4 linked regions of the Caenorhabditis elegans genome follow. The protein of the gene in region 2 purifies or fractionates together with the protein of the main gene of each other region. This does not show direct contact. Each region holds a gene or a part of one and is shown on either strand. Other genes may lie near its edges.

What was found.
Region 1: the proteins of daam-1 (region 2) and pfn-3 fractionate together in Caenorhabditis elegans (co-fractionation; one large-scale study listed by BioGRID). This does not show direct contact.
Region 3: the proteins of daam-1 (region 2) and gbf-1 fractionate together in Caenorhabditis elegans (co-fractionation; one large-scale study listed by BioGRID). This does not show direct contact.
Region 4: the proteins of daam-1 (region 2) and ari-2 fractionate together in Caenorhabditis elegans (co-fractionation; one large-scale study listed by BioGRID). This does not show direct contact.

What each region holds. Positions count from the first base shown.
Region 1 is NC_003284.9:1,077,590-1,084,808, reverse strand, and holds pfn-3 (Profilin-3), read left to right. Parts: upstream 1-4,159; 5' UTR 4,160-4,183; coding exon 4,184-4,294; intron 4,295-4,895; coding exon 4,896-4,943; intron 4,944-4,989; coding exon 4,990-5,113; intron 5,114-5,165; coding exon 5,166-5,263; 3' UTR 5,264-5,379; downstream 5,380-7,219. Other genes in the region: Guanine nucleotide exchange factor rei-2, read left to right, coding at 186-263; LIM/homeobox protein lim-6, read right to left, coding at 5,470-5,579, 6,262-6,460, 6,518-6,663, 6,709-6,784, 7,071-7,200. UniProt on the Caenorhabditis elegans protein: Binds to actin and affects the structure of the cytoskeleton. At high concentrations, profilin prevents the polymerization of actin, whereas it enhances it at low concentrations. By binding to PIP2, it inhibits the formation of IP3 and DG.
Region 2 is NC_003283.11:79,187-87,524, forward strand, and holds the start of daam-1 (FH2 domain-containing protein), read right to left. Parts: upstream 4,647-8,338; 5' UTR 4,585-4,646; coding exon 4,529-4,584; intron 4,328-4,528; coding exon 4,225-4,327; intron 4,152-4,224; coding exon 4,065-4,151; intron 2,095-4,064; coding exon 1,964-2,094; intron 321-1,963; coding exon 185-320; intron 1-184.
Region 3 is NC_003281.10:11,767,365-11,775,908, reverse strand, and holds the start of gbf-1 (Golgi-specific brefeldin A-resistance guanine nucleotide exchange factor 1 homolog), read left to right. Parts: upstream 1-2,227; 5' UTR 2,228-2,247; coding exon 2,248-2,321; intron 2,322-2,381; coding exon 2,382-2,730; intron 2,731-3,869; coding exon 3,870-3,992; intron 3,993-4,331; coding exon 4,332-4,427; intron 4,428-4,477; coding exon 4,478-4,637; intron 4,638-5,422; coding exon 5,423-5,711; intron 5,712-7,565; coding exon 7,566-8,006; intron 8,007-8,544. Other genes in the region: immp-1 (Peptidase S26 domain-containing protein), read right to left, coding at 576-670, 721-846, 900-945. UniProt on the Caenorhabditis elegans protein: Guanine-nucleotide exchange factor (GEF) for members of the Arf family of small GTPases involved in trafficking in the early secretory pathway; its GEF activity initiates the coating of nascent vesicles via the localized generation of activated ARFs through replacement of GDP with GTP.
Region 4 is NC_003282.8:5,547,738-5,556,253, reverse strand, and holds the start of ari-2 (putative E3 ubiquitin-protein ligase ariadne-2), read right to left. Parts: upstream 5,121-8,516; 5' UTR 5,110-5,120; coding exon 5,052-5,109; intron 4,395-5,051; coding exon 4,294-4,394; intron 4,244-4,293; coding exon 3,921-4,243; intron 3,406-3,920; coding exon 3,148-3,405; intron 2,697-3,147; coding exon 2,482-2,696; intron 2,267-2,481; coding exon 2,064-2,266; intron 2,016-2,063; coding exon 1,878-2,015; intron 1-1,877. Other genes in the region: cec-6 (Chromo domain-containing protein), read right to left, coding at 8,108-8,330, 8,384-8,516. UniProt on the Caenorhabditis elegans protein: Might act as an E3 ubiquitin-protein ligase, or as part of E3 complex, which accepts ubiquitin from specific E2 ubiquitin-conjugating enzymes, such as UBC-2/UBE2L3, and then transfers it to substrates.

The sequences.
Region 1 (7,219 bases), on a different chromosome or scaffold from region 2:
GGAAAAATGCGCTAGCAATATTACCGAAGGTTCAGAGTTGGAGAATTTTCAGGAGTTCAGAGTTAAATCACTATGCGATATTTTTTGTAGTTACCTAGTCTAAAATTAAACCTAAAACTAGTGGTCATCTCCTTATTTCAACTGAATTTTCAATCTGGAGATCAACTGATAAGTACCTTTTTCAGGATATCGAACTGGCTACTGACCGTGTTGGCCACATTCTGAAGCCCAACATCAAAAGTGTATCAAATGCTCATGAATAGATTGTCAAGTCAAAAATCTGTAATCTTGACTGTATCAATTTCCATGTATCTTCATTTTACAAAATCTCTTTTCTACCGTTTTACTTTGTATTTTCCCTCCCCCAATCTTTTCAGAAATTCAAAAATTGGCCCCTTCACGTTTTCTAATAGTTTTAGGGCTCTCGCAAGTCTCCGGGTGGACGCCTCTTTGTTTGTCTAAACGTTTTTCTCTCTCACACCTCTACCAACTTGCCTCAGTTTTTTTGTCGTGTGTTTTTTAAGAATCATTTTTCGTACTATTTTTTTTGTTGGTTTTTCATACTGAAACAAAAAAAATTAACTTTGAAACTTTATTTATTGTCCAGTTTATTAGGGCATAAGCTCTATGGTTCGAAAACAGAAAATGCAACATTTTCAGATCATTCTACATTTATGTGTCTGCGTCTCAACTCCCGCATTTTTTGAAGATCAAATCAAAATAACTCCACGTGTTTAAATAAGTATACACAAATTTGGCGACAACTGCTAAAACTTCATGATATCAAGTTTTGACAAAATATTTAAAAACGAGCATACAGTTTTGTCCATTCCACAGAACTAGGCATACTGCTACTTATATTTGATCTTTTGAAGACTGGAAAAATCGCACATTCAGTCTTCTGGTCATTTTTTAATCAAACATTTTCCTCTGAATATATATCTAGTGTTAATTTCTCCCAAAAGTGCACAAAATAAGAGTTGTCATTTGAAGTTATTGAAACATGCTCACCTGCAAAGTGTAATAAATATAACAAATATCACTGATATGAATAAAATTTCAGCTGATAACATTAAGTTACACTCAAAATAAGAAAACTGCAAGACAGCTCGCCGCGCGCACAGCGAGTTAAATATAGTGGGGCAAGGAACCCGTGAGATGTCGGCGGTTAGGGTCCCAATTTTGGTGAATTCCATCAATTAGGGGTGTCGGCAAATCACTATTTTCTGCGAATGCCAATTTCAACAACGATTTGACAACGACTAACAACAGTGTTGGCTAAAAATAATTCAGCAAAATTTTGACTATTTTTATGGTGAACTTGCCCGTATATGAATCCATTTTCACGTCAGTTTTTAATAAGAAGCTTTTAACTTCTTTACTCCAAACAAACCATTTTTACGACCGTGCACCTTTGAAAATACCGTAATATGTTCGAAAGTTCAGGTGATTTTTGATTTTGATAGTCTGAGAATTAAAAAAAGTTCGTCGTTTGACAAATGACCGGCAAGTTAGGCAATTTGCCGTTTCTGATCTACTGCGCGGTATTCAGCTTTCAATTGTCAAAATAATTTTACAAAAAGCATTCCAGGAGTGCGCTGCAATCAAAATTGAGGCAATTTCGGTAATTGCCGTTGCCAAAAAATTCCAAAACCGGCAATTGCCGAAATTGCAGGTTGCCGATAAATTCCGATTGCCGCGCACTCCACGTAAAGCCATTTGAAAACATTCCAGTTTAACAGAAACCCATTTTTGAAAATGGACTGAGTTTCCGAAGTTTCGATGTTCTGAATGTAATTCATATCATCTCGGCAAAACGTCGCAACTTCATAGAATACTCCTGCAACTTAATAAAAACATTTATATAACTTTGTAAAAAGCTGTTAAGAAGTTGCGAAAACCAACGGGATTGTGAGCGAAATTTAGCTTTACATCTACTAAGAAATTGCAAAAGTCGTCTGAAAAGCTGCAGAAGTTTGCTTAAAAGCTAAAATGTCTAATTGTTGTTAAGAAGTTGCAAGAGTATGCTATGAAGTTAGGCCGTTTTGCCGAGATGGTCACATTAACTTTATTTTGCTAATTTCTTTGTCACAGTTTATTGTTAATTTATGACATTGACAAAAACTCTTTTCTAAAAACTAAATGGGGTCATCTTTTCGATCAACAAATCAACTGTACCAACTCTGAAATTTTTGAATTTTTTTGTAGAGCTTAATTTTTAAAACCAAATTTCATTGGGTGCCCCAGGAAATTTTGTTTTTTCGTACCGTGTTAGTAAAGATATTATGATCCAAATCGTTTTTTTCCAGTTTTTTGGCACATGAACTTTGAAAACGAAATATTATTATTTCATCAAATTTTATCTAGATTCAATTTTTAGGCTGACGTTTCCTGTTGAGTGGACGCCAAAATGAGCCGTCCTAAAAAGCATCCTTATGTTTCAGCGTGCAAGCCGCAAATCAAAAATTCGACATTGATCTCATTAGACACTTTCCTTGCAAATCAATCAATAGTTTTTGAAATTTCGATGGCCGTCGGTGAGCGGGGCTATCCGTTTCCCTTTCTCTCTCTTGAATGTTTTCGTCGCGTCAGTGGAACCTGCAGATAAAGCAAATGAGAGAAAAAGACATAGAGCAAACGACAGCTTTACACTATGATTGTCGAGTTCTGCCCCGGGGATAGGCTCTCCTCTGCCACAGCGACTCCTCTCCCGCCCTTCATCTATCTGCGGTACTTCATTCCCCCGTACACTGTTCCAATCGGCGCGCGCTCTCTTCAGGATCAACACACTGTTCTCACACACACACACACGGGAGGCAAGGAGACAAACTGGTGTCTTACGGCTATTGAGCGGCAATTCAGTCTTAGTCTCACATTTTATGTCCAACAGAGGCTCAGCGAGCAACGAACCCCACGCAAATATCTTCCGATCTCTTTGCGTCCCGGTTTTGAAACGAACGTTTATTGAAACTTTTTGAAAGTTAGATTTCTCACTTTTTGTTAATTTTTTCGAATTGTTTTTATTTATGACGTCTTCCCCATATTGCCGTATTTTCTGAAAATATCAAAAAGTGGTAAATTGCAAAACTGACCAAAAATGAAAATTTTGTTAAGAAATAATTTACCTGCTGTGGCTCTAAAGTCTTTTATATATGTTTTTTTCGAATACTACATTTAATGTAACAAAACTGGTGTGCGTGTACGTGAAAATCTTGAAATTTAGTAGGCATCCACTTTGAGGATAATTTTCTGAGGAAATGCCAAAAATCAGCACCCCAAATGATATCATGGCCGGACATCTACCGGGATTCGGTCTTGCAATAAGCTAACTCACTACTGATGGAAGCACAATGCGGAGCGTAACCCGGTAGATGTCGAGTCATGATAACACTTCTGGTCCCGGTTTTTACAGTATTCCTAAAAGTAACTATCCAATTGTGGGTATTTCAAATTTAAGGATAAAAATACTGGGCCTATTCTTTCTATCTTTTTTTGAATCTCAGACAGGTTTTAGATTTGAGACCTTTCTAGTTAACCTCAATAATTAAATTCTCCAGTACTGGTAACAAGAAATCTCAAGGTTTTTTATTTGCTCTGTAATTCTTGGCTCAAACTCAAACTTTCACTGATTTCAATATTGATGTTAAGCACCTGGTCGTATTAATTTAATGTTGCTATAATGCTTTGTAAAAGTTGAGAAATTTGAAGGTGGCACAAATTTGTAGAAAATTTTACGTCATTTTCTAAAACAAAACTGCTATAAAAATAACTGCCGCTTTCCATCTAAAAGTATCCGCTGAAAATTCTAATAATATTTTATAGACATCGAATTACCTAACAACGAATTATAAAAAAAATTTTGTTGTAAAACCAAGTTTTAGCTTCTATAAAACCAAGTTTTAGCTTCTCCTAAGCAGGTAGTTAGACCTGATTTCATAATCGTTTACCAGACATGCGATCAGATATCTAATCAACATGTGTTCATTACTCATCTCTCCAAACTGCTATTTCAAAATAATTTCTTCATGATTTTTTGGAAAACGTCAGAAACCAAGCGTCATCTGTTTCCATATCTCTCTCTCTTTCTCCCACGCACTGCACAATTGTGCCCCGTTTTCCACGTTTTGAGCTTCTAGACTTTCACTTTTACTTTCAAAGTTTTCAGCACACACAAAACGAAAACATGTCGTGGTCTGATATTATCAACAATAACCTTATCGGGTCTGGAAATGTGAGCAAGGCTGCCATTCTTGGATTCGACGGAGCTGTATGGGCAAAGAGTGATAACTTTAATGTAAGTTTTCAAAGTTTTTAAAATTGTCAAGTTGCCAAAATCTCGACTTTCAGTGGCATGATCAGCTTGTGATTGGTGTTAGAACTTTTTTGAGATATTAAAACTGGAAAGGACTTGCAATTTTCTTAGGCTAGAATTCTAGGTATTTCTCTAGGAATGCAACTCCTGGTCGATACACCACCTCTCTTTGAATCTCATCTCTGATCTAAAAACACTGTAAACTTCTATCAAAATCTATATTTTGTCTGCACCAGTTTTGAAAGATTAGTACATGGTGCATTGACAGATAATGAACAAATACCGCCTGCGTGAGTTTTGTTACTGAAAGCATATTTAGCTTGTTATAAAAATAGTCTTCATGTAGGAAAGGTGTGTTGGTGTACTGTAGAAGTACTTTAGTGTTACTATTGTTCAAAAATACGTTTTATCTATTGAAGGAATCGTCGGTGAAGATGGTGTAGGAATATTGTAGTGTAGGATTATTTTAGTCCTAAAAATAAGGTTTCGTTATTTTTTGGAAAACATAAGTTGAGGCTAGAGTCGGGGCACTGAGCACTGTAGTAGATCAAGCAGTACAATTTGAATAGTAACGTATTTCCAGATCTCCGTCGAAGAAGCCGTCGCCGCAGGAAAAGCCTTCACCTCCTTGGTACCTTTTGCTTCTCTTAATATCATTCTCACCCTCTAATTTTCAGGATGCTCTTCTTGGAACCGGCCTCCGCTTGGAAGGACAAAAATTCTTGGTCCTCAACGCAGATAATGACAGAATAATTGGAAAGCAAGGAGGATCTGGATTTTTCATCTACAAAACTATCCAAGGTGAACTAACTAGGATTACTAGACTGATTTAAACAATCTCTGAAACTTTTAGCCGTTATTATTTCCATCTACGAGAAAGGACTCCAACCAGAAATGTGCAGCAAGACCACCGGAGCCCTGGCCGATTACTTCAGGTCCATCAAGTACTGATCACAATTCCCGAAGCCTCCTGCCGATTTGCCATCCATGTTTGCATTTTTTTTTTTGTATTTTTTCATTTCGTTTCTTTTTTATATAAATAAATAATGAAATAAATATTTATCTTTCTCAAAATTCAAAAAAATAGCAACTCGAAATAAATAATATGAGGTGAAAAGCAAAATAAAGCGGGTGGTTTGATTTCCGAACAAAAAAAGTCAAGAGTGATATGGAAAATAAATTTGGGAAGATGTCATATTATACAGTTTTTGAATTGGGTCCGTGTAGCTTGAAGTTTCCGAAGTCTCCACCTCGTCAGCGTCCAGGTCTGAATTTTTTTTTTGATAAGAACAATTGTTTGAATTCTAGAAGTCTATAGTTTTAGCCCTTTTGGTTCAGCTATCCGGGACTGACCAACTGAACAATTATGTAAAAGTATAGTGAAGCTTAGGCCGATCTTGCTGCAAATTTCGAGTTGGGCCTGCATCGCCCGACACCTCACCGGTTATACAAATCTATAGGAATTCACCTGGCATGGTTAGCCGACACAAGCACGGACCGTATCGGCTAGCCGTACCATGTGTACTACGCGTGAAGCCTTCTTGAATTTGATTGTTTTAAGGTTCGCAATTTTGCCGGGCTCGGGAACCCTCATATTCCCAAAACGTGGATCAATCTATTTTACACCGGATTGCTAGTCAAGAAAAGATTGACCAATTTAACCGGACTAACATAAGTGTTTTCGGCGTGCAAAGATTAGAGCTCTGACCGGGCTTCTCAAAATTGCCGATTGTTAGAAACTTTCAGCATCACCTGTGGTCTAACTAGGTATTCGAGAATAGACAAAAATGGTGTAGTTTAGACTGATATACACCAGGCGTGTGTAATGTTTCTTTTGTACCTATAGCTCTCGATACATTACGGAACAAACTTTCTAACTTTTTGAAAAACTGATTTCAATTTGTAAAGCCACAACTCGCCAATATCTATACCTATTCTCTTCAACTTACTTATCACAGACTCTTCCTCATCATCAGAGCTTCGAATGTCTTCCGTGCTCCGTCCCTCACTTCCAGGCCCGTGTTTAAATGTATCCCCTGAATCCGAATCTTTCTTGTTCAGCTTCTTGATCTTCGCCCTCTGATTTTGAAACCAAACTTGCACAACACGAACACTGAGGCCAGTTTCATTTGCGAGTTGCTCCCTGACCTGCAGAATTATTTAGAATAATTTTTTTTGAATTCAGAATTCTGTCAGCCAACCAACCTTTCGACTTGGTTTTGAACTTCTTTCAAAAGCAGTCTTAAACTGTCTCCGTTGCTGAGCATTGAGGATCGTTCTTGGTCGTTTTGGCGTTTTTCGGTGGATTTCTGACCGTACTACTTCTTCCATGAGAGGGTCTGGATTTGATACTGAAATTGCAAAAGTTGTGAAGGTAAGGGTATAGTGAAACTCACTTGTTTGAAAATTACAAATGGACTGGTAGTCATTCCGACAAAATACTTCTCCATCGAATACATGATATTCATCACCCTGCAACAAAGTTAGTCCTGATAATTAAATAAGCTCCAATATTTTTTCAAGTATTACTAAACGTTTTCAGTGCTCAGACTTTTAATTCCTGAATTAGGAAATAGTTATTCCTTACAAATCACATTTTACAGAAAATCAACATAAAGGGAGCCTATAGGTCAGCTCTTTCCGCAGGGAGTTTCCAAAAGTCCAGGGTAACACAGGTAAAATGTGAAATATTATTCACTTACATTTTGAAAAACGATTGAAAACTTAAATCACAATATTTTATCTAAAACCAACTCACCAGATTAAATGGTCGTTGACAGGAACAGCAGCTGAAACATTGCGCATGATAGTACATAAAATGTACGCGATGGACAATGTCAGTTGGCAGAAGCAGTGTCATGCATCTCCGGCAACGCTTCCCATATAGCCTGAAAGATTGACATATTG
Region 2 (8,338 bases):
GCAGCGGACATTTCACAGGGTTTCCTAGTTTTTTTTTTGAGAAATGGGTGGCCGAAAGTTTTTGGGTTTCTCTATGCAAGTTCACATTTTTATTAAATCTTTGCGGCCGACAATTATCAGTTTGTTTTTCAAATGTTCACCCAATTTTACAAATCCGCATCAAAAATAAAATTGTTTAACTTACCGGTGAATTTAATAAAGCACGAAGGGCGTAGAGGAAGAACAGTGCTGGCTGCTCCAAAGTATACTGCTGGTGGCACTGATTTAGAAGCTCCGTGAGCAATTTGAGCCCGGAGGAGGAGATGAAACTCTCGAGGTAGCTGGAAAATTTTTTTAATGGGATCAAAAATTGGAAATTTTTTGTTCTGAATGTTCTATAAGTAGTGTGTTGCGTGACAATAATTTTCGAGTAAATGTTATGAGAATTTGAAGTTTTTTGCTACCACGGGCAATAAAATGTAACTGATGTTTTCAAGGATGCCTACGCCTACCTATAACGGTCAATTTTCGGCGGTAGGCAGGCAGGTAGGCAGGCACGTTGGCAGAGCCTGCCTAACGTGAAAACATTTTTTTTTAATTCCAAAATGTCAAAATTGGGAATTATAAGTAAAACTGAAAATAGAAAAAAAAAGAAAAAATATATTTTTTTGAAAATAAAAATTGTATTACGTAAATTTGGAACAAATGCATGCTCTTCTAATAGAGAATTTTCTGATGGCTCTTTCTGCAAAAAAAATTCAGTAGGCATGTAGGCAGCCAGGCAGGCATTCCTGTGCCTTCAGCCTATTCAAATTCAAAATTCATTATCACAATGGTCCAGGCCTCCCAAAATGTGTCCCCAAAATCCCGAAGGAACCCTAAAGCAATATTCAATTGTGTATCTAGTGTCAATTCAATGAATTAATTTTCCGCCTCGTTTTGAAATTTGTCGTTTAGGGGTGATAAATTTTAGATGAAAGTGTAAAAGAGGGGAAAATGAAGGGAACACTGCTTTTTGGCCGTCAGCTGGCACTTCTCTTCTCATTCCAAATTTACATATGTCCTTACAAGAAGAATTGGTTCATCAATACTGATGGGAAATTGACGGGGAAAAAGTTGGATTTTATAGGTTTTACTGGAAAAAATATTTGCCTGCCTACTGCCTACACATTTTTGTAATTTTTTGTACAATTTTTCGATAAAAAAATTCAAAACAAAAAATTTTTTGACCGAGCTGTGAATATCTTATTTTCAATTCCTATATGAAATGTTAGAAAATAATTTGAAATTATAAAAAAAAAACTGTGCATCGCCCAGGTACGTTTCTTTTCAAGTGGTTAAGAAAAGTAGGCAGGCAGGCATTTTTGGGCCTACCTAGAAGGCTCACCTTCAACATCGTAAGTGGGGACGTACTATAGATCTTTTTTATAATAAATCAAAATGATCGAATGTCTAAATGAATTGCTTTAAACAATTTCAGATTTTTCAAAATTTTTAGGCCTAGTTTTGGTAAATTGTCAAATTTCTGAAATACGATGACTTTTTGAGATATTCAGTGCATTGCTTGACGTTTGAACCCCTACAATGTTAAAATACAAACAATAATGGTCTAATTAAATTATAAAATCGTAGAAAAAAACTTTTTTTTTTGGTCGACTTCCAAAATTATGACTGAATTTTTACTAGCTTTTTGACTAAAAATTTCATTAAATTTTTTAAATAAAAAAAAATTTCTTTGATAAATAGGTGTTTTAGTGACATATATGTAGGTGGTTTAAATTAATATCCCATATCAAAAAAAAAAGTTGTTTGGAAAAACAATTTTTGGTCGACTTCCAAAATTATGATCCAATTTTTCACTGTAAAAAAAAATTTCACAACATTTTTGAAATTTTTTCTGTGATATATGATATGACATTTAGCCATTTTAACACTATAAAAGCGGTTTAAGCAGTTTGAAAAATTAAAAAAAAAACGTTAATACCTATAATTCTGTGTCCTCAGCGAAATCACCAGTTCCTGAAGTTGTCTGATGGTGTTCGAGTCGATCACGAATGATTGTTGCAAATTTTTGAGGAACCCAATGAAGTGTGACGCGTCTTCTGTTTGAAGACACTGTAAAAATATGGTTAATGTAGGCACAGGAAAAGCATGCCTGCCTGCCCGCACCAACAAAAAAATAGGCGGTAGGCACGCACGCAGGCAGGTAGACATTAAAAATTGTAAAATCCACATTCTAGAAAATTTTTATATTACTTGAGAAGTTTGATATCTAAATTTGAACTTAAAGTTGGTTTTTCTCAAAATCAAAACTTAAAAAGTTTAAACTGACATAACTTTTTTGCCAAAACTGCTATTTAAAAACTCCAAATACAGAAATGTTCAAAATCATCTCTTAATTATTTTTCTGTTGACAAATTTTCTATATTTCCTACGGGAACAAAGTTACTTGCAATAAAAGACCGATAAACCTCAGCCTTTTTGATACGAGAACAATGATGATTGGCAAAGGGGTGCTTCAAAGTCAATATGAAAACAAAAAGCATAATGGGAGGTCGTGGAGGGGGAACGGCGAGAATTTCGATAATATACGGGATAGTTCATTTGATACTGTCTGCGTCTCGCAGGTTCTTGTGTTATTTTGTGGGTTTTGAGTTTGCCCTCATTGAGGTGTTGGGAGGTGAAAAATTATAAATAAACAGATGATTTATGGAGAGTTTGATTAAATAAATAAATGAATGAATAATTCAACTATTTCAATAAAAATTCATGAAATTTGATCAAAAACTAAGAATTTTCAATGTCAATTTTTTGAATTCTTTAAAATTTAGGTGTACAATTTCGGTGTACTTGATTTAATCAGAATTTAAAAAACGGAAAAATCCATAAAATTTATTTGTAACAATAGTTTGGATCATCCATTTTTTAATTAATTTTTCCAAATTTATTTAATTAAGAAAAGTTTTAAACATTCATTTGTTCCTATCATTTAGAACAATTTCAAAATGCAGGCGGAAATAGGTAGATATTGAAAACGCCTGAAAACGCGCCTACAATAAATTGAAGCAAAAATTTGCCATTCGTAATATTAAATTTATTTTATAGTCTGCTTATTTTTAAGCTATTTCTAAACTGCTAAAATTTTAATTGAGAAAGCAAAAACAAACAATTATCTAATTTTTACTTTAAAAAATGTGGTCGGTCTCTACCTTCGGTTCATAACCTCTCGTTTTACAATGTAGTTAAATTGGCACACTCCTCACACCCCAATAGTTGTCTAAGGGAAGGTCTACATGTTCCTTTAAATTGACCTAATTTCTGTTCAGTCATGCTTTTTATGATGAGAAGCACTTAAAAAAACATTTTTACAAACTAGCGGAATGAATTTTAGAAATAGAGTTTTTTTTTAATTAAAAAATTTTTCAAGTAGGGGAGCAGAGGTATAACTGGAAATGTTTGGGTCTGAAAATTTTCTATCAAAATTAACGTCTGGAATTTTTATTTACCGTATTTTCTCTATTAGTATTGCAGCCTCTAATAGTATTGCATGCAAGACTAATAGAGGAAATACGGTAATAGTCTTGCGCCTCTATTCTTGCCAGACCAGCAGTATTTTGTCAAAACTTCAAAAATTTGCCATTTTTTAGCTAAATTAAATTTTAAAGTGTTCAAATAATTGATAAAACAATAGAAAAGAATGTATTTTGCACGGTTTAGACAGTTTCAAGCCAAATTTTTGACGATAAATTATCAATTTTACAAAGCTATTGGATCTTCGAAAATTAGTCTTGCAGCCTCTAATAGTCTTGCAGTCTCTATTAGTCTTGCACCCCTACGGGTCAATCGAAAATTAGTCTTGCATGCAAGACTAATAGAGGAAATACGGTAATTGATATTTTTCCTAAATTTTTGGTAAAAAAATATTGGAAACTTTTTAAATTTGAAGAAAAAATAGGTAACGTCCAAAAACGAAAAAAAATCTGAATATTGAAAAAAAATTCTGAAATTTTTTTAAATTAAATGTAATTAATGGTTAAATTAAAGATTTTTGAATTTTTTGAATAACAATATTTTTTTAATCTTACATGTTGTGAAACCAGTAGTGACATTTTCTTTTCCATCGAGTAATTGTGCATTTCTTGCTGCTTTTCCTCGTTCAAACCGAGCTCTTTCTGAAAATTAAAGTTTTTCTATTAATTTAAAACTGTTTTTAAGATAATTAAATTATCGAAAAAAAAAACTTACAACAAGGCACTCAAAATCTTTATCAATTTTTGCAGGATCCAATGGGGCTGGAGCAAAAATGACGTCATCATGCACATGCTGCTTTCCGGGATCGTCTTTGTCACTGGAATAAGGATAAATTATGATAATATTAATTTCTGAAAATTGAAAAAAATTGGCGCAATATTTAAACATTTTAATTTAGAACATTTGTCCCGAAGTCCAAAAAAATTTTCAAAAAAAATTAAAGCAAAATTCAAAATCAATTTTTTTGTCAAAAATTTCGGCGCGAAATTCAAAATTTATTATATGTTTTTTTACCTACCGATCTCTGTAAAAGCAGGACATTGCTCTGTCGACCCAGTCTTCAATGTAGTCCATTTTCTAACAGTTTTCTGTGTTTTTTCTTTGCAGTTGGGAATTGTGTGGATATTTCTGCAAAATGAAGGAAATTTGTAACTGAACAAAAAATACGGAATTGAGAAAGGAAATGTGAACGGAAAGAGAGAGAGAGAGAAAAGGGAAATTGAAGTATATGTAGTAGTTGTACTGTATAGATTTTCTTGAAAAATTCGAGAAATGTATACTGATAGGAAACAAAAGATAAACTTGAAATTGAACTTTAAAAAATTTCAAAAAGACAGGAGTTCAAAAATAGGCAGGCATGAGGTAGGTAGGTATGATGTGTGGTGTTTTCCAGCAAGAAAAATTTCTAAAATTGCGTTTTTAAATTTGAAAAAAATTCAAAAATTAACATTTTCTTATTCGATGTAAAGTTTAAAAGGTTAGAAATTATTCAAAAATTATTGAAAAAAAATTATTAGCATGGTAAAACGCCATATTGTCTGCCGCCAAACCATTTTTTTTCGGTAATTTTAAACCACTTAAAATGCAAGAATAAAAAGATCAGATTTCCAAGGAATCGCATTAAAATTAGCATTGAAAACTGCGGGGATTATCACAGCAGGAGAGCTACTTTTTGACAATTTGCCACGTTATTTCCATTTTCCATTTTCCGGCCAATCCAAAAAAAAATAGCAGATTGAAAATAGAAACAGCAGGTGGTATAAGCTTCAGTGAAAGTTTTTAAGCTAGCTAGATTGCAGGCGGATGGGTTTTTCGTTGGCAAAAAAATCTGGAATTTTTTCACTGCAACTATGAAAAAAATTAGAAGAGTTTACAAATTTCAGTAAGAGCTTCAATTTTTCAAAAAAAAATTCTCTTGGTGTTTACATGAAAAGATTAAGGTTTAGGTAGAAAGTTTTACGTGATTTTTTTTGCGAAAATTTTTTTTTGTAAAGTTTTTTTTTATTTACCCGGAAAGCTTGATTTTATCAAACAAAACATTGATTACACTTAAAAAATTGAAAAAATGGCTGAAAATAGTCAAAAGCTGAATATTTTTTCCGAAACATTCAAAATAAAAAAGAAAAATCAAAAAATGTAGTGAAAAATTTACGAGAAAGCCCAAAAAAATATTGTCAAAAATAATTTCTGATTTCCTTTTTAAAAAGAATAAAATTATTTCAAAAAAGGGAGAAATGACAGGAAATTATAAAAACCGGATTGTTTTTTATATTTGAAAAAATGTGTTTTTTTAGAAATTTCGTAAAACGTTTCAAACCCCTATAATGTTTCAGGGCAACTAATTAAAAAATCATTAAAATTTGGAAAAAATCAGGATTTTCCCACTACTTTTTACTGTAAATTACAAAAAAAAATTCTAACATTTTTTGAAAAGTTTTACTATGATTTTTGGATTTTTCCTACCACTAAAAATAAATTTTTGTTGGAAAACCAAACATCTGGTTTTCAAAAAAAACGAAACAGTAGTCATTAACAGTACTCCCATTGTTTCAAAGAGTTGAGTTTTTTTTTCAAAAACTGCCGAATTTTTAAAAATTTTAAGCATTTCTGCAGGGTTGAAGCCTGGGAATATTCTAATAAAAATAGTTTTAAAATTTTTAAAATTTAAAATTTTTAAAATTGGAGAAAAAAATTTTAAATTAATTTTTTTTTGGTCGACTTCTAGTAAAATGAGTTTTCACTACTTTTTTGCTGAAAGTCAAAAATTTCAAAAAAAAATTTGAAAAATTTCACTAGGATTTTTGGGCATTTTAGCAGCATATTTTCAATTTTTATAGGCATTATTAACAATAAATTTTTGTTGGAAAACCAAACATCTGGCAATAAGCTATAAATTTGTTGGGATAAATCTGCATAAAATCAGCAAAGCTTTATGGTTTCGGGTGTCGGTTACGGTTTACCGCGCTTCGGTTGGCATAATGTTTTGGTCAAAAGAGAAAAGACACCACCCAGAAGCAGGGGAGTGTACTAGAGAAGGTAAGGGCCTGGAACAGACAAACAGTATGTGTCTGTGGAGAAATTTGACACTTTTTGGAAGGAGTGCAGGGGGGGGGGTAAAGTACGACAAATTGAAAAGAGAAAAGGTGTTGCTGTTGTGGTGATGAAAACAAAACACAACATTTGTGAGAGCGGAGCCAAATTGAGATAGAGTCTAGGTACACTGATGTAACTGTGGCCGAGGAATATAAATCGGTGGCCAAATTTTTTCTGCAACTTTTTCCTGCGTTTTAATGAGTAGACGTTAATTTTTCAATTTTTGAAATTACATACACAAATTAAAAAGTGCTCAAAATCAACTGAATTTAAAAATCAAGTGGGTTTCATATGCAGGTAGGTAAGGCAGCATGGAGGCCTATCTGTCTGCATGCTGCCTTATTTTTTTGTTGGCAATTTTCTGTTCCGTTTAAAAATGCAAAAACAAAAATTTGAAAAATGCCAGAAAAAAACGCACCAAACATTTTATCTCCCGTAATTTTTAAGAATGTTAATAACCCCCTGAAATGTGCCAAAAATGCTTCAGAATTCTTAACAGTGGCTAATAATTGAGCTGAAAATAATAAAAATGCAAAAAAAAATTGCAAAAAAATTCCTTGACATGTACTTAAAATACCAAAAAAATTCTGAAAATGCTTAAAAATGTATGACAAATTCCAAAACAATGTTTCAAATATGGCTAACTTTAAAAAAAAAAAGATCAAAAACATTTGGTGAAAATGCCAAAATAAATGCATGAAAATGTGCCCGAGGAACCAGAAAAAATGTGCCAAAAATACCTAAAAATGTCCTTTTAAGAGTTCCAAATATGTCCCAAAAATGCCAAAAACAATGTCACAAAGTTTCTTAAAAAGATGCTTGAAATACCACAGAATGGGCTAAAAGTGCCAAAAATGTCCCAAAATTGGCATTACTATGCTAAAAAATGTCTCACAATGTGCTACACATACAAAAAAAAGTGTGCCCAAAATGCCTAAAATATGGGCAAAAAATACCAAAGCGCGTGCTAGAAATTCCGAACAATGTCAAAAAAATAAAATTCAAAAAGATAAATTTTAAAAAAACACGTCAGAACAAAAAACGTTTCTGGAAAATTTATTTTCAGATTTTCTAAATTTGAAAATTTAAAGGGTGCTCAAGCGGAAGTGAAGCGCACTCAAGATTTAATTTATGCATATTCCTTTCAGAAAATTCACTTTTTAGAAATAAAATTGGAATAGGTTCATAAAATCATGCCTGCCTATTAATAGGTTCATAAAATCATGCCTGCCTGCCTATTAAAATCATGCCTGCCTATGTGACCTACGCCTGCTTTCACACCTACTGCCTGAACAATCAACCATCACCAAATTTCACGGCAGAGGCAACGGTATTTAACGAAAAGTTCTGAGTTAAAAAAACGAACAAAAATTTTCGAATTGTTTTCATTTTTCAATTGAGCACAATTGAGCAAAGAAATGCATAAGCCGCACCCTTCCCTCCAATTCAGCTCGTAGTTGAAATCAATGCGTGGAAGAACAAAAATGCTGGTGGTGGTGGGGCACCCGGTTTCTTGTATTTCCTGAACAAACAACAACAATTGAGACGAGGAGGAAAAGAAAAGGAGAAGAGGAGGATCATAACAAAATCAAATAAAATTGCTCGACAAAAAATTTTAGAAGACAGTCTGTAGTGATGGTCAAGGTAAAACGGGAGAGTAAACGGGGGAGGTTTTTCGTGCCGAGACCCACAAATTGAGACATGGTGCATCGACTTTTTTTTTAATTTTCAAAAA
Region 3 (8,544 bases), on a different chromosome or scaffold from region 2:
TTTGCGACTTTTTAGGTGTTTTTTTTAAATAAAAAAATCTGGGGTTTTTTGAACGAAAATTGACTTTTTTTTGCGTTTTCTGGCTTTTTACAGATTTTTTCCATAAAAATCCTCGTTTTTTGCGACTTTTTAGGTAGTTTTTTGATGAAAAATCGGGTATTTTAAAGAGATTTTCGGCTAAAAATGCATTTTTTGCAGATATTTCTATGCTTTTTTTTCAGGTTTTTCCTCTGAAATTATGGCTGAAAATGGAATTTTCAAAGATTTTTTACAAAAAGTTTTGTAGAAAGCCAGTTTTTTTTCAATTTTTTGCGTTTTTTTTTTAGAGATTTTGTGATTTTTCAGGTTGAAACTACTTAAATTCGCTTTTTTACACTTTTTTCCTGAAATTTAAACTGAAAATCAATTTTTTTTGCTTTTTTTTGTAAAAAAAAATTGCTGAATTTCAGGTTTTTCCCACCATTGTCGCGGAAAATGGCTCTAAAAATGAGGCAAAAAAACCAACTTTTTTCAATTTTTCAGTGAAAATTAAGTTTTTTAACATGAATTTCACGATTTCCAAGCGAAAAACCAACTTTTGCAGCTATCCGTTTGCACAGAAGCTCCTTAGGCTTCTGCGGATTCACACATCCCACTATATCTCCGACCTGGACGTTTTTATTGCGAATACCTGAAATTTCAGCCACTTTTATGTGAAATTTTCATTCAAAAAACTCCTACTAAATCGCTCGGCGAGCACCAAATCACCGTCATGAATCGTCGGATGCATCGATGGACCACTACAGATCACCATTTCCCCGATGTACTTGCTTATGCAGTGTCCGACGCAGTAAAAAGCGGCGGTTCCTGGAATTTTTGGGTTTAAAATGCAGTTTTCGGAGGAAAAATTGAGAAAAAACCTTTTGTAAACCTCCAGAGAAGCTTCAAGCCCTTTGATTTGACCATATTTGTCAGAAAATCTGGAAAAAGATGTGTTTTTCTCAAGTTTTGACGCTTTTTTTAACGGAGAAAACACATTATTCATAGAGTTTTCACAATTTCGGCATGACTTTTTATGAATTCACACTAAAACCAGTGATTTCTAACGATTTTTAGGTGAAAAATTGAATTTCAACACTTTTTAAAACATTTTAAGAGCGAAAAACAAAAATAATAAACAAAAAAAAATCGAAAAACATTCTCGCTGTGCATTCTGCCGTGGCGGTGTTTGCGTACAAAACACCAGAAAACGGTGCACGTGACGTGTCGTTTTCACTTGATTTTATCGCTTTTCTCTTCCGGATTTCGCAAGAAAACCTCAATTTCTCCACGTTTTCAAAGCCAAATTTCTTGAAAACTTCATAAATTTATAGGTTTAATTAATAATCGAGCCAAAAAATCCAATTTTCAGCCAAAAATCCACTTTTCAGCAGAAAAAATCCACTTGTAGCAGAAAAATCAAATTTTCAGCCAAAAACTTCAATTTTCAGCCAAAAATCCACTTTTCAGCAGAAAAAATCCACTTGTAGCAGAAAAATCAAATTTTCAGCCAAAAACTTCAATTTTCAACCAAAAATCCACTTTTCAGCAGAAAAAATCCACTTTTAGCAGAAAAATCAAATTTTCAGCCAAAAAATTCAATTTTCAACCAAAAATCCACTTTTCAGCAGAAAAAATCCACTTTTAGCAGAAAAATTCAATTTTCAGCAGAAAAAATCAATTTTCAGCCAAAAAATCCACTTGTAGCAGAAAAATCAAATTTTCAGCCAAAAACTTCAATTTTCAACCAAAAATCCACTTTTCAGCAGAAAAAATCCACTTTTAGCAGAAAAATCAAATTTTCAGCCAAAAAATTCAATTTTCAACCAAAAATCCACTTTTCAGCAGAAAAAATCCACTTTTAGCAGAAAAATTCAATTTTCAGCAGAAAAAATCAATTTTCAGCCAAAAAATCCACTTGTAGCAGAAAAATCAAATTTTCAGCCAAAAACTTCAATTTTCAACCAAAAATCCACTTTTCAGCAGAAAAAATCCACTTTTAGCAGAAAAATCAAATTTTCAGCCAAAAAATTCAATTTTCAACCAAAAATCCACTTTTCAGCAGAAAAAATCCACTTTTAGCAGAAAAATTCAATTTTTAGCCAAAAAATCTAATTTTCACCCAAAAAAGCCGTTTTCAAAGCCAAATTTCTTGAAATGTTCATAAATTTATAGTTTTAACCGTTTATAATCGAAATAATTACTTCAGAAGGTCGTCGTCAGTGTAAGATGGCGACCAACGGCGTCTACATCGTGATGGGCGAGGCGAATTGTGTCGTCGCGCTGCTCAATAAGGCTCGGAGGTTTGTTTCAAAAAAATTAATTTTGCGTTTTTGGAATTAAAAATTAATACTAAATTCCAGACAATACCAACTGTCACAAGTGCCGACGCTCGAAGACACGGATCCACTGCTGCGAAACTTCACAGATCTCAAGGAAGTGCTGAATGAGGTTGCCGATCTGGCAGATATGAATCCACAAACGTATCTATCACCGTTTCTCGACGTAATAAAGGCTCAGAACACGAATGGACCGATTACGGAAGCCGCGCTGGCCGCTGTCGCCAAATTTCTGAACTACGGGCTCATTGACGCGAGCAGTATTAAGGCGGCGAACGCTGTCGAGTCTATCGCCTACGCTGTGGTTCATACAAAGTTTATCGGCGGGAAAAGCACTGGAAGTGATGAATGTGTCCTTTTTAAGATTCTACAGGTACCAGGAGTGCTGAAAATTCATGTTAAAATGTGAAAATCTAAGAATTTCAGGTCTTTTTCTCAGAAATTCGAGAAAAAAGGTCAATTTTCATAAAAAATCAACGCAAAATTTGCTAGAAATGTGCCAAAATTTCATTAGAAGTGCAAATTTGGATGAATTTTATGTTATTTTTACCGTTTTTCAATTATGAAATTTTAAAAAATTTTTAAATTTTTTAGCGATTTTTGGCTTCTGTAAAATCTAAAAAATCGCGAAAAATACAATATTCATTTGATTTTTCATATTAAATGCATTTATGCATTTTTTCATGCATTTTTTTATTGGAAAAATGGAGTTTTCAAGTTTTTTTTCTATGGAAATTGTGAAAAATCCACAATTCTATAGACAAAAGAGAAATTTGTCATTAATTAACTTGAAAATTCCATTTTTCCAATAAAAACGCTTGAAAAAAATGCATAAATGCATTTAATATGAAAATTTAAATGGATTTCGTATTTTTCGACGTTTAAATTCTAAATTACACGGAATTTCTAAAGTTTTCACAATTTCGGCATTACTTTTTCATGAATTTAAACTAAAACCAGTGTTTTTTAACGATTTTTAGGAAAAAAAATTGAATTTCAAAACTTTTAAATAGTAAAAATTTTTAAAAAAATTAATTTTAGTCCATTTTTATCCGATTTTCTCGAATTTTCAGAGTTTTTAGCCAATTTTTAGCCAAAAAACTTCGTCAAAAATTCAAATTTCTACCAGAAAACCTCCAGAAAAATACCCTAAAATCGCAGAAAATAGGAATTTTTTAGGTTTTTAACGAAAATAAAAATCAATTTTTCATGGTAAAAATTAAAAAAAAAATCGATTTTCACTCCATTTTAATGCATTTTTATCCGATTTTCTCGAATTTTCAGAAATTTTTAACCAATTTTTCATTGAAAAAAAACACCTAAAAACTCCCAAAAACCATGATTTTCAGGTTTTTAACGCAAAAAATTTAATATGAAAATTTAAATGAATTTCGTATTTTTTCGCGATTTTTTAGATTTTACAGGCGCTGCTAAAAACCGCCGAAAGTTCACAAAAAAAAACTCCAAAAACCTGATAATTTCTAAAAATTTCAAAAAATCTCAATTTTCCAGGTGCTCCGCTCGCTGCTTCTCTCCCCTCCAGGCATCCTTTTGTCTAATGAAGCCGTCTGTGATATGATGCAGTCTTGTTTCAGAATTGTGTTCGAGCAGAACCTCTCTCTGCTTCTTAGAAAGGTAATTTTGCTGAAAAATCCCAAATTTTCAGCCAAAAAAAATTCAATTTTCAGCCAAGAAATTCAATTTTCAGCCAAAAAATCCAATTATCAACCAAAAAAATTCAATTTTCAACCAAAAAATCAAATTTTCAACCAAAAAAAATTCAATTTTCAGTAAAAAAATCCACTTTTCAGTCAAAAAATTCAATTATCAACCAAAAAAAATCAAATTTTCAGCCAAAAAAATCAAATTTTCAACCAAAAAATCCAATTTTCAGCCAAAAATCAAATTTTTAGTCAAAAAATCCAATTTTCAGCCGAAAAAATCAAATTTTCAACCAATAAATCCAATTTTCAGGCCGCCGAATCGACGCTAGCCGACATGACACAGCTCATTTTCACCAGATTGCCAACTTTTGTCGAAGACACCCGTCATCCATACATTCGGCAGCTGGTATTCATTGAAAATCGCCGAAATTCCCTCTAAAAATCCGATTTTTCCAGGTAAATCCCACTGAAAAACGACAAAAACGGAAGAAAAAGCGTCAATTGTCAGTGCATATTGAGACGAAGGCCAAGGAACCGGAGAATGTGCCAACGGAAATGACAAAATTGATTGGAGAAGCTGCAGAAACTGCTGAAACTGACGGAGCAGCGAATCTTGGTGCGGGTTTTAGCACAAAAAACCATTTTCTAAAGCCAAATCTCTCGAAAAATCGAAATTTGAGCACGAAAAATGCTCCAAAATGTGTAAAAGTTATGAAAATTAACCGGAAAAGCACAAAAAAAGTGTCAATTTGAACTAAAAAACGCCTCAAAAATGCTCTGAAATTTCTGAAATTTCAGGTTTTCCAGCAGTTTTGCGAAATTTGAGCTCTCAAAATGCTCCAAAATTGCGAATTTTAAACTGAAAATCTCCGGAAATTTGTGAATTTGAGCAAGATTGGTTTAAAAAATGCTCTAAATAGCTTGAAATCTCAATTTTTAAGCAGTTTTCTGAATATTTGAGCTCTGAAAATGCTCCAAAAATGCCAATTTTAATGTCAAAATCTCCGGAAATTTGCGAATTTGGGCAAAAAAGCTCAAAAAAATTTAAATTCCTTGAAATTTCGGTTTTTTAGACTGTTTCCAATCATCTGAGCTCTCAAAATGCTCTAAAATTGGCAATTTCAAACTCAAAATCCCCGGAAATTGTGAATTTCTGTTTGAAAAACCCAAAAAATGTTCTGAAACTCCTGAAATTTTGGGTTTTTGAGCAGTTTTCTGAAATTTTGAGCTTTCAAAATGCTCCAGAAATGCTCCAAAACTGTCAATTTTAAACTCAAAATCTCTAAAAAAGTTTCCAAATTGTGCGAAAAAAGCCCCCAAAAGTGCTCTAAATAGCTTGAAATTTCAATTTTAAAACAGTTTTCTGTATATTTGAGCCCTGAAAATGCTTCAAAATTACAGGCTACGACGTAGTGCTCACGACGGATCCACCAGTCGATACAGTAACCCACCCGGATCCACCAATTGAAGAAATCATAAAGCTTGCTGAGCCAATTTCAGCCGGAGATGAAGCCGATTCAGAATCAGAAGGCGGTGGCGGTGAAGAGCATCACGAACGTCCCCCCGTTCGGGCTCACGCTGGATTACAGAGAGAAATTGTGTCGGATGAAGAGGAAATCGATACGGAGCAAACTGTTGGAGGAGAAGAAAAAATGCCCTATGGGCTCCCATGTTGTAGAGAGCTTTTGAGGTACTGAAAAGTTGTCTGGAAGCCCGTTTTTCATGAAAAATTGCTCTGAAATGCTCAAAAATTCGCTGAAAAAGTGCAAAAATTGGTTGAAATTCGCTTTTAGGAGCTGAAAATTGTAAATTTCTGGTGCTTTTTCGGCTAGAACTGGCAAAAAAAACGGCCAAAATTCAGAAAAAAAAATCCATTTTTCAACTCAGAGACGCTCGAAATATGCAGAAAATTAAAAATCAGAGCCTCTGAGGTATGAAAAATCGCCCCTGAAAGCCCGATTTTTGATCTGAAATGCTTTAAAAATTGGTTGGAAAATGGAAAAATTGACTCAAATTAACTAATATAAGTGCAATTTTAAGCTTCTGGAAGCTGAAAATGTTTTAAAAAAATTTTTATGTAAATTTTCAGCGATTTTATTGGAATTTTCCAAATTTTCGATCAATTTTTAACGAGAAAATCTGGAATTTTTTTCCATTTTCAAGGCGATTTTCACCGAAAAATCGCGAATTTTACGAATTTCCAGCCAATTTATTAAATAAATCAGGATTTTTCCAAATTTTCGGTCAATTTTTACCGAGAAAATCTCGAATTTTACACATTTTTGGTCATTTTTCCCCCGCGAAACCCAGACTTTTCTAAATTTTCAGCCATTTCTAACCAAAAATCGTGAAAAATCTATACTTTTGGTCAATTTTCACGGAGAAAAGCGAGAATTTTTACATTTTCGGGCTATTTTCACCATCGATTTTCACATTTTCACTGAAAAATGGGTAATTTCATCCATTTTTGGTTAATTTTCACAAAAAATTTGTACATTTTCCGAATTTCCAGCCAATGTTTTAGATAAATCACGAATTTTCCACATTTTCAGTCATTTTTCGCTGTAAAATTTTGAATTTTCAGGCTGTTTTCACTGAAAAATCTGGAATTTTTTACATTTTCGGGACTATTTTCACCGAAAAAAAATAGTTAATGTTCCAAATTTTTAGCCAATTTTCACTGAAAACCATTTAAAGTTTCCAAGATTTCGACTATTTTCCACCAAAAAATTGTGAATTTTCCAAAATTTCAGTTAATTTTCATTGGAAAATCTGGAATTTTTTCCATTTTCCGGCTATTTTCACCGAAAATTTGTAAATTTTCCGAATTTCCAGCCAATTTATTGAATAAATCAGGATTTTTCCAAATTTTCGGTCAATTTTCACCGAGAAAATCTGGAATTTTTTGCATTTTCAGCCAATTTTCGGCGGAAATCTCTCAATTTTACACATTTTTGGTCATTTTTCACCCGCGAAACGCAGACTTTTCTAAATTTTCAGCCATTTCTAACCAAAAATCGTAAAAAATCTATACTTTTGGTCAATTTTCACGGAGAAAAGCGAGCATTTTTTTACATTTTCGGGCTATTTTCACCGTCGATTTTCAATGACGGTAATTTCATTCATTTTTGGTTAATTTTCACTAAAAATTTGTAAATTTTCCGAATTTCCAGCCAATTTTATAGATAAATCACGAATTTTCCACATTTTCAGTCATTTTTCACTGAAAAATCTGGAATTTTTTACATTTTCGGGACTATTTTCACCGAAAAAATAGTTAATGTTCCAAATTTTTAGCCAATTTTCACTGAAAACCATTTAAAATTTCCAAGATTTCGACTATTTTCCACCAAAAAATTGTGAATTTTCCAAAATTTCAGTTAATTTTCACTAAAAAATCTAGAATTTTTCACATTTTCGGAACTATTTTCACCGAAAATTTGTGAATTTTCCGAATTTCCAGCCAATTTTTATCCAAATCTACCAGCTTTTTTTTGGGATTTTCAGTCGATTTTCACAATAAAATCCCAACTTTTTTTTCCAGATTCCTCATCACAATGACCAACCCAGTTGACCGTCACAATACTGAATCAATGGTAATTCTCGGCTTAAACTTGCTCATTGTTGCTCTGGAAGCCATCGCCGACTTCCTTCCAAACTACGATATTCTCATGCCACTTATCAAAAATGAGCTCTGTCGAAATTTGCTCCAACTGCTCGACACGAATCGCCTACCAGTGCTCGCCGCCACAAATCGCTGCTGTTTTTTGCTGTTTGAATCGATGAGAATGCACATGAAATTCCAGTTGGAAAGCTATTTGAAGAAGCTTCAATCGATTGTGCTCACCGAGGAAAAGCAGCATGAAAACGGTGGTGGTGGAACGGAGCAAAAAGAAATGGCTTTGGAGTCACTTGTTCAGTTGTGGAGAATTCCCGGATTGGTTACCGAGATGTATCTCAATTTTGATTGTGATCTCTATTGCGGGTAAAATTTTGGCTTCGAAATGCTAAAATTTTGGTTAAAATCGAGTAAAATTGGATTTTTGTACGGAAAATTCACTTAAAAATGTGAAAATTACTCTGAAATTGGCGAATTTTGGCTTAAAAATGCTGAAATTTTAGTCCAAATCGAGTAAAATTGGCCCTAAATATGTCAGAAATTACCGAGATTTATCTCAATTTTAATTGTTAAAACAGGAATTTTGGCTTAAAAATGCTGAAATTTCAATTTAAATCGAGTAAAATTTGAAAAATTTGATTTTTGTGCTGAAAATTCACTTAAAAATGTGAAAATTACTCTGAAATTAGCGAATTTTGGCTCGAAAATGCTGAAATTTTAGTTTAAATCCAGTAAAATTGGCCATATTTTAGCTTAAAAATGTTGAAAATTTGCTTAAAAATCGGTGATATTAGCCCGGAATTAGTTTTTGCTCAAAATTTTCTCAAAAAACATGAAAATTCGACATAGAAATTGGCCTGACTAGCGTGAAGCCGATTTTCTCGAAAATTGGCTCAAAAATTAC
Region 4 (8,516 bases), on a different chromosome or scaffold from region 2:
CTATCTGTCCTTGAACATTCATTTTCAAAAAGAACATTACTGATAAGAACGTTTCCCATTTGAAAATTGGAGATAAGTCTAATCCTTCGCAAGGTTACAGTAAGACTATTCTCAGTTACAAGGGAGAAGCTGCAAACTTGATAAGGAACCTCGAATCCGATGTTCAAAAATGTCAAATTCTTAATCTATTAGCATGGAGCTTTGAACTTTCATACTTGATAATCTTCCTCATAACACCTTTTCCGGCAAATTGAAATTTCCATAGAATTCTTTCTTTACTACTAGTATTTCCATTTTCTCTCTCTCTCTCTTCCCATTCCATGTATGTCCATTAATCGAAAAGGTAGGAATATCCAAAAGTGTGTGTGTATGTCTCTTACTATTTATTTCCATTAATCCGTCCTCGCTCTCTCTCTGAAATCCTTCACCTTCCCCCAGATTTGGGCAGATTTTGTAGTCGTTGCGTCGGTAGAGAGAGAGAGACTGGATTTGAAAGAGAAGGACGAGAGCCGGATTATCGGCACTGATTTTGGATTTCGGGCAGGCAAGCAGCAGCACGGGTCCGATGAGTGGGGGATAATGAGGAAGGACGGGGATTTATAGACTTATTATTGAGATTGGAAGGAGAATGGTGTGTATGTGTAGAAGTGTAGTGATTGAATGGAAAAGGGAAATGTCAAAGATCTGGAGAATGTGCAAAATGGAGAGCGGGAAAGTCTGAATGATGAGCTCGATATCTTCACTATTCTGGAAAACCCCTAACTGAAATCCATGAGCATGAAAAGAGATCTCGGATATTCAAGAAGTTGATCAAAGAGGAAGATTTTGTTCAGCATTCTCATTAGAGCGGGAATACACCTTCAATTCAGAGTTCAATTTCTAATTCGGAATCAAATTTTCTGTTTTTTCTAGAAGTTTGGGAAGACTTCCGGTATTCCACAGTACGCTACGATGCTTAAAAACTGCCTAATTTCCTGTGTGATGAATGTTTTCAGAAAATATCAGCAGAACTTAACAACAAGAAGCTGAAATAGAATGAGTACTGAAATTCTGGACAGTGATCCTCAAATCATTAAAAATCGTGACTTGTTTGAACCTCCAGTCTTCTGAACTTTGAGATCCAAAACCGTTTCATGCCACTTTTCCGAATCATCAATCAAATAATCAGTATTCCATTGAAACTGGCTTCCTCTTTTCTTCTCCCGTCTCATACCACCCACAGAGTTAACTGACGGCACCATACTGTGAGTACAGGGTCTACGTGTCCAAAAAGTGACACTTTTCATCAGTGAAACTCTCTGAGATTTAGATTTTCTGGTTCTTCAAACGATTCTAGACACACACACACAGAAACCGGGGGATGATTCTGATCAATGACGCGACACGTGTTTGCCACTATTTTCCAAGGAATTCGTTTCTTGTCAACAACAATAATACAAATTTCAAAGAATTGTATCATTCTGTCTGCTGTGAAAGTTACGGAAGAAGGGAATTCGTTGTATATTTAAAGATGAATCAATACAATACACAAATACACTTGTTGGGAGAAGAAGACAAGAATATGTTCAAGTGGAAGGAAGGACCGGAAACTTTTCGAAACTAGAGGCAAGGTTCAAGTTTATTGAAATATATGTGGTTTTCAATAAATTCCTCGGAAAAAAACTATGTTTCAATAGCAATCATCGTAAAATAATGCTATTAGTCGGCAGTATGACATTACAAATCTTTTTCTACAGTAGTCACTATTGTGAAAAATGATATTGCAGTCTTTTTTAGATAATCATACATCTTTCTTTTTTTCAAATTTTCAGCCGAACTTTAAAACTTTACCTGGAACGTTCATACTTTTAAACTCTAACTTTTCCAAGAAAACATACCAAATTCTTGCGGGGAGTCGCACTGAGAAAGTAGGCAAATGGATAGGTATACTGTAGCGTGTATCGACATTTCGTTAGCAATGAGACCGACTTGTGAAGATATTGCCAATCAATCCATGTTCCATTGTGCTCGTTGACCTAAAACAGAAAATTTTCAGCAAAATTTTGTAATTTCAATATCCTTACCTTATCATCAATCTTCTTTCTAATTTTATCTCTCAGTTCTTCTTCCATTTTTAACGATTTTGAGTGATTCTCGAATCGTTCGAAATAATGAAGATATTTCTCGAGAGCTCTTCGTGCTTTTACATGATTAGCTTCAGCAGCCACTGATGGATTTTCTTTATATCGACTGCACTCGTAGTATTCACTTCCGTGGCTTTTCCAATCTAAAAAAAATTTAATTTTAGATTAGGTATTGATTTTTTTTGTGCAAATTTTGTAGATGTTATACTTTATTTATTTAAAATACTCGAAAACCAGTCACCGATGTTAGTTTTATTTTCTGAATTAAAACAATATTCGTTAAATTCATGACTAGAAGTGTAGTTCGAGAAGAAAAATTCGCATGAAATTTAAATTTTAAAATTTCCAAATTCCTCACCACCAAAACACATCCAACAGAAATGATGTCGACACCTTGTACATTGAATATGATTACATCCACCAGCTTTTTCAATACAACTATGACATTGTGGACAATCTTTCGTATGAGCACTAATATAATTCGCTGTTTCACTGTCATCTGCACATTTTGTCATCCATTGTTTGATGGTTTCACATGAAGTTGGAGCATGATAGTCGGCGCCACATTTTACACTAAAAATTTGGGGAAATTTCGGAGTTTAGTGACATGGCAAATTTGGATGGAAAAAGGATATACAAAAGAAATGTTTATATACATTATCAACTTATGATATTGGAAAATGGCATTTCTCAAATAACTGTTTATGATCGGTTTTGGAAGGGTTCAGGTTTTAAAAATTTATTATTAAATTAAAAAAAAACTAGTTTCTTTCTACGAGACCTAGAAGATTGAAAATGTTCGTACATTGAAAAAAAAATTGAGAGTTAATTTTTCTAGAAATACAATATTCAATAAATTTTGATGAGTGGGTTTTGAAAAAGAACAGATTTTTCTGAAACTTGCCGAATAAAATAAGTCATTTAAAAATGGAAATCGGAAGCAATATTTTTGTAAAAAAGGCATTTTTACGAAATTCACCGAGTTTGGCTGCTTTAAATTTAGAAAAAAAGTGTAAAAACTCACCAAAAAGAAGTATGACACTGCATGCAAGTAACTCGTTTTGGCTTAACCTCCGTTGATCGTATAATCACAGGACACTCATTTCCAACACAAAACTTCAAATGTGGATGAGAATTTACCATATCTCTGAGCAAAAATCGTTCATATTTCAGCTTTATCACCGGTGAATTTTTAATAATCGAGAGAACGAATTCAGATGGTGCATACACTTCACATTCAGATTCCATACATTCGATTCGTGATGCAACGCCTTCTGATAATCTGGAAAAAATATGGAATTTTTTGAAGATACAAATAAAATTTTGAAAAAAAAAACGATTTTTCTGTAGTTTAGTTTTCAATCTTACAAAATCTATTTTCTATTTAATTAACTGATTATATTTATTAATGAACACTAATAGTATTCAGTTGAATCGCTGATCTAAAAATTTGATAATTTTAAGTAAACTTTTGGCAATAGAATTCCGAACACGAATATTTCCATAAACTTGTAAAATTCAAAAAAATGTTGTCAGCATTTTTTGATTATTTTGCTTTTTTTTGGGATTGTGCATTTTTTTTGCATTATTTCCTTTTAAAAAATTTCATGCATTTGTGTATTTATTTTCCCTTTTTTCTGAATTCTTGAATTCTCCGGAATTTCTTTGTATTTTTTTATTTAAAAAAACACACCAATCAAATAAGAATTTTTACAATAATTTCGGTTATTAACTTTTGAAACAGACGTTTATTTCTGTTAGTTTTACATTCAAATGTGCAAACCCCTCCCGATTTACCTAGATTCAACATGACTCTTCCAACAGTGTTCACAAAAACAGTGTCCACATGTTAAATGTGGTAATTCAGTATATCCATCCATAGCACATACACTACAGTAACCCTTTGCTAACACTGATTGAGTTGACGATAATTTCCGTTTCGGTTCGGGTTTTGCGTCGATATGACATTTTCTCAAGAAATCATTTCGATCATTTCGAACGAGTCGAGCTATTTTATCAACATCCCAATGATTAGCTTGTAAGAGTATTCTAGCGAATTTCTCATTTATTGAAATTCTGGATACAAGTGAATTTACACCGTCGATGAATACCCGTTCGACCTGAATTTGTTCAGTTAAATTAATTTTACAATGTGTATACAATTGCTTACTTGATTTACAGAGAGACACTCATAATCAGCTTCCTCTGAATGTGTCGGTGTCACTGCCACGTCATCAGCGGCATCTACATCCGCTTCGTTGTAGTAGTCTTCTGGAAATTAATGAAATTTTATAGTATTCAAATTTTTTTTGGTAAAAAAATTTTTCCAGGAAATCGACAATACAATCTGTAGATAATTAATCATTTATTTTTAAAAATTTAAAAATTGGTTGTGAGAGAAAATAAAAAATGGGGTTTTTCATATAAAGAAGAAAAATTGACAAAATTTCAATTTTTCCGGAAAAGCGGCACTCTTGCTCTGAACTTTACAAGCCAATTTTTTGAATTTTTTAATATTAAAAAAAATCATTAGATAGTTAATAAAAAGTTAATTCAAACACAAATTTTTGTAGTTATATTATGGTTCAAATTTTTGTTTTTAAATTTTAAAAAATAATAACTTTTCCCTGATTGTGAAGAAAATCGAAATATTTGTTTTTTAATCCAGGTTCCTGGCCAGAAAATTGAAATTTTTTCCAGAAAAATGTTCCTTTTAATGCATTTTCTGAAAATATCTACTACTTTTAAAAGCGAGAATGTTTTCAACCAAGAAAATTGTGATTTTTTGCAGAAAATTGTTCATTCAAAATTAAAGAAAATCGAAAATTGGAAATTTTTCAACGAAAAATCTAGAATTTCAGTTTTTTTTTCAAATTTACAATTATGTTTGGCGATAAATATTTTTTTTTAAATCAGCTTAAATCTAACCATCTCCATAACCGGCATAATCATCCCCGGACGTGCAGCTCATGTCTTCATCGTCCATTTTCTGCTTTTCTGAAAAATTAAATTATAATGATGTCTGAAAAAAGAACGAGAAAAGGAAAAAAAACAATCTAAAAAAATATTTTAAACCAAAAACTACATCATTGAACCCTAAAATTACACTACTAGTCTTTCAAATTATAAAAAAAGTGGCAAAAAAACTAGGCGCTTCTAATCGGCAATTATTACAGCATCAGCAGCAACCGCCACTCTACAGTAGTCAACTGAACCTGCCAGGTTTTCGACGTCTGCGTCTCTATAGCCTCCCTATACTATCTCGCTTATTTGTTTCCTGCGCGTGTTCATTCGTCTTCACCTCCAAATATTTCAAAAGCAAATCGGTTGGAATAGACAGAGAGAGTGTATGAGGGGTAAAGTTTCCGGTCTGTGTTATAAAAACTGAAAAAAGGACGAAAAGAAGAGGAGATAGAGAGCTTGTGTGTGAGCAAAGAGATCGGATTTGTCGTCATGGAGATTTTTGAGACTCGAAGAGTGGGAAACGATGGAATCTGAGAAAAAAAATATGAGAGAAAATGAGGAAGGAAGTTGTTATCAATTCTAATTTTTTCAACAAAAAAGAAATTAAAATTCAGTGAAAAACTGTAAAAAATATCTGATTTATCTGAAAATATGGTTGATTCCAGTTGGAAAAATTGAAAAAGTGATCAAAAATTGTTCGAGGAAGCAGCGAAATTCAGATAACTTTAGCACACTTAGCGATAATATTTTTAAATACTTTGTCACTAAATGTTAGCGTTTGTAGAACTCCAACAAGACCGTGTGTCGATTTATGCAGCTAGTGTACTCCTCGTGGAGAAGTGTATTTATTGATTTTTTCAGAGAAAGTATTTGACAGTTTTCTGGTTGAAATACGTCATTTTTAGCAAAAAACTTTATTAATTATTAATAGAGTTTGGGGTAAAAAACCCATGTATTAATTGATACTAAAAAATTTAAAATTAAAAATTTTGTTTCCTGTAGTGTTCATCAGTAAATACGTCGGTTTTAACTGAAGTTACATGAATTGAAAAAGATGCAAAAAAAAGGCGAAAATGTTCAAAAATTAAGTGTTTTAGCATAAAACCAAACTAAAATCTGAGCTGATTTGTTTAAATTTAAAATCTAAATTTTAGGTGTTCGATTTTTTTCAAAAAGGTTTTTTTTTTCAAAATTAAAAAGTTCAACGAAATAAAATTCAAACGTACATAAAGTAATTCAATACCTAATGAAAATGACCACTTTCAACAAGTGTTTCCATAAAATTAAGTGAAACGTGCACAAAACTAGAAAAAAAACTCTTCGATGTGCAGTCAAAGCTGATCATTGAGCTTTTCTGCGACCGCAGGAAAATATTTATCATTAAAAAATGAATGAAATGTGATACATTCTTTTTTTCCTTTTTTTGGCTGGAAATATGAGGATGAGAAGTGTCGAAAGTGCTTCTGCTACTAATGGTTAAGGTCATATAGTTTGAAAGGACACGAAGGGTTTACTTTGTGAGTTTTGGAATTACACTTTGAATTATTTAGAGGTATGGGAAAAGTGGCTAAAGGGAAAGATTTTTTTGGGATGAAAATTGCAATTTTTAAATGATAAAGCTGTGGGGGTTTTGCCCTGTGAATGAAAGAAAACAGCTGTAAAAATACCGAATAAACTTTGAAAATTTATTGGATTTTTCTAGATTTTTAATAATTTTTTTTTTAATTTTGCGAAAAAATCAGAAAAATAAAAATTATTTTTGAATTACCGGGCAAACGAATTACGTAGTTTTTGGCATTTTTGCCGGTTTTCGGCTATAGATTTTTCGTCTCATTTTTTCTATGGTTTGTCAGACATAAAAAAGCCCCACAAAAACTACTCCACCACAAAAAACTTCAAACGTATAGTAAAAGCTTGGCTTGAAACAGTTAATTCAAAAAAAATACCGAAAGTAATTGTATAAACACCCCTACGCATATACACATTTCAATCACGAGTAGAAATTGGAAGAAGAAAAAGAAACAGCAGTAGCAGCAGCGAGTGAAATGAGTGAGTGCGGAGAGAAAGAACGAATTGATCGGTCGCCGGGGCGAACAAGAAGGAACAGAACACTTTGATGGCCGAATTGTTTCAAATGGATTTTTCTAGGCTGCCGGTGTTCGGTGGGATTTCACATGCTTTTTAATGCATACTTTTACACATTTTCAAGATTTTTCTTCTTTTTTTTCTCATAGCGAGTAGTAAGAGACGCAGGTTTATGGAGAAAGAGACAATGTTTTGACAGCTTTTTCTTGTATATCTATGTATGTGTCTGAAGAGAAGAAATGAGAAAAAAAATGAAAACACGTGAGAATCTGATGAAGACGAAGAGAGGAAAAGGCGAAAAAACGGGGAGAGAATTTACATCAGTTTGATGAAAATTTTATATGAAGAGCGAAAGATTTTAGTGAGTTTTTCGATGTACATGCATACTTTCAAATGTGTACTAGAACTGGAGCAAAATTTAGAATTTGAAAAATTGGAAAAATCTCTTTTTTTTTTGCAATTCTTCAATTTTATAATAAAGAGTTTCATAAAAAAAAACGTTTTTTTTTAAACATAACTAAATGTTTTTTTTTTCAATTTTCTGAAGCTTACAGAAAATTATCTGAAAATAACTCCAATAGTCGATTCAAGACGAATGATTACTAGATAGCGGAATTATTTTGAATAAAATTAATGTTTATTTTCGGCTTCAAAAAGTAATTTCAACCGAATAAAAAAGCTTATTGAGAAAAAAATGGAACTACATATTCCTTAAATGCGATTCGGGGGAGAAATACGAGCAGAGATCCAAACTGAAAACTGGGAGATCTTGAAACAATTGAAAGTTGAGTATCATGAACTCTAAAACTTAAAGCAGATGTTGACCGTGTTCGAAGAGGAATTTTAACATCAAAAAAGAAAAAAAACAAACATTTAACAAGGAGAGGGGATAATTGAACACGATGGGTTTAAGGATGAAATGGAAATAAGAAGAATTAGACATTCTTTTTGATGAAGAAAAGTTGAGTGACAAAGCTTATCGGCTGATCAACTTCTGCTCTCATCTCGATATGCGCATTTCCGGGAACCACTAGATCTTTTTCGTGAGCTTTGTCCGAAATACCAAAGTATCGACAGCCCGGCGATGAGAACGGAGTCATTTCGAACATTCCTATGTCGGCTTCGTAACAAGTGAGACCTTCCGTTTGACGGAGCAATCTGAAATATAGTTTTTTTTTCATCAGATGACCAGATTCTGCCTACAAACTCACGTCAACTTTTCAATTTTGAACCCGTCATCACTTTCGATCAGAGTGAATTTTGGCAAAGAAAACTGCTCCTTTTCGGCCAGATTACAGCGAAACTCAATGTCAATTCGATATAAGGCGAGAACAAGTCGACCCT